2 linked regions of the Sus scrofa genome follow. The protein of the gene in region 2 interacts with the protein of the main gene of each other region in a pairwise test. Links are inferred from orthologs where the notes say so. Each region holds a gene or a part of one and is shown on either strand. Other genes may lie near its edges.

What was found.
Region 1: the proteins of HPGDS (region 2) and ABHD17A interact in binary tests that used the Homo sapiens proteins (3 or more experiments, as listed by UniProt). The two-hybrid records come from large-scale screens. The link is inferred for Sus scrofa from reciprocal best matches to the Homo sapiens genes HPGDS and ABHD17A.

Annotation. Positions count from the first base shown.
Region 1 is NC_010444.4:76,660,777-76,664,084, forward strand, and holds part of ABHD17A (protein ABHD17A), read left to right. Parts: intron 1-800; 5' UTR 801-1,005; coding exon 1,006-1,337; intron 1,338-2,365; coding exon 2,366-2,560; intron 2,561-3,308. UniProt on the Homo sapiens protein: Hydrolyzes fatty acids from S-acylated cysteine residues in proteins. Has depalmitoylating activity towards NRAS. Has depalmitoylating activity towards DLG4/PSD95. May have depalmitoylating activity towards MAP6.
Region 2 is NC_010450.4:125,382,160-125,385,973, reverse strand, and holds part of HPGDS (hematopoietic prostaglandin D synthase), read right to left. Parts: intron 2,917-3,814; coding exon 2,775-2,916; intron 1-2,774. UniProt on the Homo sapiens protein: Bifunctional enzyme which catalyzes both the conversion of PGH2 to PGD2, a prostaglandin involved in smooth muscle contraction/relaxation and a potent inhibitor of platelet aggregation, and the conjugation of glutathione with a wide range of aryl halides and organic isothiocyanates.

The sequences.
Region 1 (3,308 bases), on a different chromosome or scaffold from region 2:
CCTTTGTGATCTAGCTGTAGTCTAAGACAGTGTTTCACAACATTCTGCAGAAGGGAGGACTCACATTCCTCTGAGCCATGTCCTCTCCACCACTTACCCCTCATCTTGTTCCTTGTTTCTGTGACAAGAGTGGTGTCTGCATTGATAGACCAGGAAGCTGAGGAAGCTGAGGCCGAGGGAGGTGAAGCCACTTGCCCCAGGCCACAGACCTCTGGGTTGGGAAGGAGTCCCAGGCTCCCATGATCTACCTCAGCCGGCTGACCCCCAGGCCTGGCCCCGAGCACAGGAGAGAGCCATTGTCTGAGCTCTGGGCCTTCCCAGCCTAGAGATGTATCCTGCTTTTGTTTGCAGAGCCTTTGTTTGTTGTATTTCCTCCGCCTGGGCTCCTGTCTGTGGACATGAGGCCTGGCACTGGGAGCCTGCTCCAGGGTCCCTCTGATCAGCAGTCTGTCCTCACCTCGACTGAGCTGCGTCACCCGGGGGTGGCAGATGAAGAGGGACCTTGGGGGTGATAGGGCTTCTCTGAGCCTGGAGCATGGCCTTTGCTGGGGAGAGCTGGGTGGCCTGGAGGTCTGATGGCCCAGCACAGCCTGCAGGCATTGGTGCCTGATGATGAGGAAAGCTAGCAGAAGGGGTTGCTGGGGAGGTCTTGGTGCCCTAAGGAGGGCAGGCTGGGCCCAAGGTCTGTGGTGGCAGGCGGAGCCTTCAGAGACTGCACTGTGGGGAAGCTGAGGGCTTGGGACATGTTCTGCCTTCCCAGTGGTACCCCAGGGACCCCACATCTTTCTGTTCCTCTGCAGGTTCTCCCTCTGCACAACATGGACACACGAGGCTGCGAGGCTCCTGAGGGCTCAGCTTGGACCGCAATGGGGCTGGGCTGCAGCCTCCTAACGGGGCTCTTGTCTGGGGCGGTGGCTGGGGGGTGCCCTGCCCCCTGCCCTTGTCTCCAAGCACCCTCTCCCGTCCCCCACCGGGTGAGGCCTGCCCCAGGGCCTGGTGCCCACCATGAATGGCCTGTCAGTGACCGAGCTCTGCTGCCTCTTTTGCTGCCCGCCCTGTCCTGGCCGCATTGCTGCCAAGCTCGCCTTCCTGCCTCCGGAGCCCACCTATTCGCTGATGCCTGAGCCGGAACCTGGACCCGGCGGGGCTGGGGCCGCCCCCTCGGGGACCCTGCGGGCCTCAGCTGGCACCCCTGGGCGCTGGAAGCTCCACCTGATGGAGCGCGCTGACTTCCAGTACAGCCAGCGTGAGCTGGACACCATCGAGGTCTTCCTGACCAAGAGCAGCCGCGGCAACCGCATCTCCTGCATGTACGTGCGCTGCGTGCCAGGCGCCAGGTGAGATCCAGGCCCGGGATATGCTCCGTCCTCAGGGATCTCCTTTTGGCTGGTGCCCTGCTAGGACCAGAGCTTGCATGAGCCCATCTGGCGGAGTGGATGCCCCCAGGATTTTTCTTGCTCAAGGGGCAGTGGATGAGATCCGCCCCTGGCCACCAAGGAACTGCCACAGGCAGCCTGTCTTGGGATGAAAAGACCCCATAGCAAAGTGGCTTCTAGTGGCTGAGTCATGCCATTTGCTCACCATAGAGCCTCCTGCTTCCGGGTTTCAGTCTTTACCTGCCCAGGGATGGTCTCCAGGGCTCTTGGTCCCCATTGAGGCCTCAGCACCTGCTTTGAGGCTGGGGCACCTGTAGCCTGGCTGGCAGCTTGGGCCAAGTCTGACTCCCTGTTCCTACTGTGGGGCAGAGGTGGGGGCTTCCAGGTGCTTCTGCCCTCAAACCAGCCGGGTTCTGGCTCTGGATTGAGTCCAAAGGGCAGGCTTTTACCTTTCGGCTGGACTGGGCTGGGCTCGGCTGGGTGGGGGCCAGTGGCACCAGAGGAGGAAGACTCTGGAAGTGTCCATCGGCTAGGACCAGCCTGGTTACCTGCCCTGGGCATGCGGGCCTTGCAGGGCTGCCTTGGGCCCCAAGGCAGAAATGAGGGCGTGGTCATTCTCTAGGAGGGGAGCTTCAGCCCTCTGAACAGGGCTTGGCCTCACTTGTGGGCAGTCCTGGTGACAGAAAGCTGCTGTCTTGTGCAGCAGACATAGGTGCCCGCCCTCCTCAGGGCTGTCAGAGTCCCTTCGAAAGGAATGATTCCAGAGGAGAGGCAGCTGCTGCCCAGGGGCATAGGCATCTTAGCTGTGATGGGCACTGTGGCTTCCTGAGCTCGTGCTGGCGCTCCACCTGTGCTGAGAACCTGACTAGGTCCTTGTGGTTTCTTTCACGGGCTGAAGCCTGATGCCCTTCTGTCTCTCCTGGTGGGTACCTCTTCCCCCGCCCCTGCTCCCTTGCCCCCTGACCTGTGCTTCCACCGCCCACCCGCAGATATACGGTTCTCTTCTCGCATGGCAATGCAGTGGACCTGGGCCAGATGAGCAGCTTCTACATCGGCCTGGGCACGCGCATCAACTGCAACATCTTCTCCTATGATTACTCCGGCTACGGCGTCAGCTCTGGCAAGCCCTCGGAGAAGAACCTCTACGCCGACATTGATGCTGCCTGGCAGGCCCTGCGTACCAGGTGAGCATGGCACCGCGGGGGGCGGGGGGGAAAGCAGCACGGCTCCTCACAGGTGATTGGACTGGGTGAAACTGGTGGTTTGAAGGTACCCATACTGGCACTGGGGCTGCCTTCCAGGGAGGGAGGAAGCCTGGGTCGGTGGCCCTGCAGGAGAGGGACCCTATCTGTGGCCACACTGGACCTCAGGGTGAGGCCTGACCTATGTTCCCCTGCATGGTGACAGGCGTGCTTGGTGTGCAGGGAGGCAGGCTGGCTGTCCTCTCACCTCCCTGGGGTTGGCCCCTCCTGGGAGCCTCTTGCCTGGGCAGGGGCATGGACAGGGCCTGGAGGCATCCCTCTGGGGGTGGAGGCTCTGCCTGGAGGGAGTGGTGTGCAGAGGACTTGGGCCCAGCGGTGGCGTGTGAAGGCTGTGTAAAAGGACTGGGAGGCCGAGGCTGAGGGAGCACTTGGGGTGCAGGGTGGGGCCAGGCCTCTGATTCAGGCTTCTGATTGTGGAACTTGGCCTTATCCTGAGGGTGGGGCTCCTCTGGGCCTGGAAGATTCTTTTAGGCAGCTCGTTACCCAGCGCAGCCCTGGTAGCTGGTGGGATTGTCAACTGGCAGAAGTTGGGTCCTCCCTGGGTATAGTGCAGTGTGGCCCTGCACCTATTCTGATCTGTAGGGAGATCACCTGACCCCCACTTCCCGGAGGTGGCACACACTGCCTGCTCGGCATAGCCCCATCTTGGCCTGCCTGGCTGACTTGGGCA
Region 2 (3,814 bases):
TGACTAAATTATTTCCAAAAGAATATAAGCAGAAGTGATGTGTGAAACTTTATGTTTATGCTATTAAAAGGAAGAAAGGTGTTCTTTTTCTCTTTTATGCTTCCTGGGAGCTAGAATATGGAAGGAGAGTGAAGTGGTTACATTGTGTAAATAAGAACGCACTATGGGTGACAGAGGAACAGAAAAGAAGGAACCTCATCTTTGAGAACTTCATGGAACAGAACTGGGATACTGACCTGGGCTTTTCTGCAAAAAAAAAAATAAATAAATTTATATCCTCTTTCAGCCATTTTTGTGTTGGGTGTCTGCTAAAACATTTAACAGCTATTTTAATCATCACTAACCTTAAGATCCCTTTCAACTCCAAGAATCTATGAAAATATTAAGAAAATACAGTAATTGCATTTTAATAACAATACAGTAGGGTATGAGGAATTCAAAGAACTTTTATCTAAAAATATAAAAGGCAGAATTCATTATATGTACTATCTTCACAGCTTGCTACCTATCTTAATTAATGGATAAAATTAATATTCACCTACTTTTGGTTCACAGAATTGAAAAGCTCATGTACACATTCTGGTATCAGAAGAAATGCTTAGATATTAATAGGAAAGTTTCAGAAGAACAGGAAATAAGATATTATATCCCATCAGAGAGGAGTTCTCTGATAAGATAAAGAGTAGTTAAGGGTGATGACTTTTAACGAATTCACGATTCCCAAAGTCATGAGGCAATATTTATTGTTAAAATAATTATCGTTGTTGGCATTATCTAATGCAAACAGTTTGAACCACAGCATCAAATGGACCTGGGTGGAAAAATTAGCTGAACCTTGCTAGGGCTGTGAACCCGGGAAAATTACCTAAACTGTGTGCTTCAGTTATCCCGGCTACACAATAGAAACAATACATCCCACATAGATATGCTAGAAAAATTAAATGAAACGGGGTCTCCAGAGTATCTCCAAGTGCTGTCACTCTACACGTACTCGATAGTTTCCTTCAACCTCATCTTTATGTGAATTTTTAATAATCTAGTCATAAAAATAACTTTAGACATAACATTTAGCATCTCTAGGTAACATGGCAAGCATCTAGAAGATGACTTACAACTTACAGGTGTTTGTTTTGTGAATAATACTTCTTTTTCCTTTTTTTTTTTAAGTGCTTTTTTTCTTTTTCTTTCTTTTTTTTTTTTTTTTTTTTTTTTTGGCAGATCCCAGAGTGCGTGAAGTTCCTGGGCCAGAGATTGAACAGGGATTGAACCCAAGCCACAGCAGTGACAATGCCGGGTCCTTAACCCACTGCGCCACAGAGGAACTCCCTCAGCTGTCCCCCTTTTTTTCTTGTTAGGGCCACACTCGTGGCATATGGAGGTTCCCAGGCGAGGGGCTGAATCAGAGTTGCAGCTGCTGGTCTACACCACAACACCACCAGATCTGAGCAGAGTCTGCAACCTACACCACAGTTCACGGCAACATCAATCCTTAATCCACTGAGCAGGGCCAGGGAGCAAATCCACATCCTCATGGATACTAGTCGGGTTCCTTACACTGAGTCACAATGGAACTCCCTACTGTATAATATTCCTCAATTCTTCCTTATTGTCCTGTGTGCTAAGTAGCTTTTTTTTTTTTTTTTTTTTTTTGTCTTTCTGCTATTTCTTGGGCCGCTCCCGGGGCATATGGAGGTTCCCAGGCTAGGGGTCCAATTGCACCTGTTGCTACCGGCCTACGCCAGAGCCACAGCAACGCGGGGTCCGAGCCGCCTCTGCAACCTACACCACAGCTCGCGGCCAACGCCGGATCGTTAACCCACAGAGCAAGGGCAGGGACCGAACCCGCAACCTCATGGTTCCTAGTGGGATTCGTTAACCACTGCTCCACGATGGGAACTCCGTAGCATGTTTTCACTGGGCTCCTGCCTAACTGTAAATTTGTTTTTTTCTCTGATCAAATAGACCCCAGTTTCAAACAGACCCTAGTTTTGTTCAAGGTATCCATCCCTCTCTCACCCACTCATAAGCTTCATGAAAATTCCTTCCATCCTCGGCTTCAGACTTGGATTCGATGTCCTAAGGTTCTTGCCACCTCCTTGCAAGATTGGCTCAGAAATGAACACATGACCCAACTTGAGCCAGTGAGACACGAGCGGTTTGCTGAGGTCTTCTGGGAAAGTTTCTCCTCATTCCTCTGGCAGCACTTAGGTATGCAGTGCTTTCTCTTATAGCCGCTCCGTATTGCTGCTCCACGCTGTAAGGAGGGGTTGCAGCAACATATTGCTACTGGCTGCATGGTGCAGTCAACACACAGAGGAGGAAAAATGGATAAAGTCAGCGGTTGAAACCTGGCCTACTTCCAGATTTCCAGTTATGTGATACAACTCATTTCTTTGTTATTTAAGCCATTGGAGCTTCGTTTTCTGTTAGAGCAGCTTATCAGATCCATTGTACAAACGTTATTGATATCTGAGCAAGCCCATCTAATTCCAGTGGTCAAAAGTTTGACCTCAGTATCTCTCCATTTCAGCTCTTCTGATAGAGAGCTTCGTGTTGGGTAATTTTTAGATGCTCCTTCTGTCAGGTTTGAGTTTTCACCTCAAATAGGACGTTTCCTGAGTCACATAGCATTTATTTAACTCATCTGAACTGATGCTTCTCAATGTAAAGCTACATGAGATTTGAAAACATTTTTCTTTTTCCTGAGGAAGACAAAAGGTTCTGGAAACATTTTACCTACATGCATTTCCATGCACTATTTTTATGCTACTTACTTGGCTTGATTTGGGGCCAATCAGCTTGTTCTATTCTGTGGTCTTCATACTTTATGTCCAAATATGCAAATATATAACGAATAATTTCTGCTCTCCCCCTCATATTAAAATAAGTGAGTTTGTAGTTTGGCATGGTGTGATTCTAGAAAGAGAAAAATAGAGGGATTATTTTAACAGCCCTCTAGAGATGTTTCCACATTTTTCTTGGCAGACTTTTTGAAAACTTTATGGCATCTTCTGAGATAACCGGAGGTATTAGAGAATATTTCAAAACCAGAATTATAAATCACTAGCCTAATAACACACGGGGAAGACTTGAGAGAAATAAGAGCATCACTGTCTCCCTTTAAAAACCAGCTGGAACATTCCTGTGAAATAACCAAAGTCAAGCTTTATTTATAAAAGGATATCAGAGTAAAGTAAAAGGATTTCGGAGTAAGAGGGTATCTATATGCCAACCTGCAGAGGAGAAAGTCAAAAATTTTCCATTTTAAGATATTTTTGTCCTGCCTTCAGCCAGTTGTAATGAGTGGTGGTTGACATTTGGTTTGCTGTTTGCTTTGGTGACACAGCTGAGTGTGTGAGGACAGCTGGGTAAGGATTGCAAGGGCAGGGTACATGTAAGAGGCATGTGAACCGGCCATGTCAACCTGTCATCCCCTCTCTTTCCTTCTCTGCTGCTTTTCCCCTTAGGCGTCAAGGGCTTGGGAAATTTTTGCTCGCTTCTCTTGTGCTACATCCATGCTCCAAAGAATTTATTGGGTTGCGTGTACCATACAAACATACCCCTTCGTGGGGACATCTGCTGGGATGGGACAATGGTGAGCATCGTTCTTTATTCCCAAGGAAGGAAGAAAGCCAACTTTCCTTACATTTGAGAAAGTTTCCTCATGCTGACCATATTGGTTAGATGGAGGTCATTACAGAATACTCAGAGAGTATTCTGTAATCTGTATCATTTCATTTCCACTGTTTCATAGACAGTTAATGATAAGCACTAAAGTAGAATGCATTATCATTTTCTAATGATTAGCCAACTG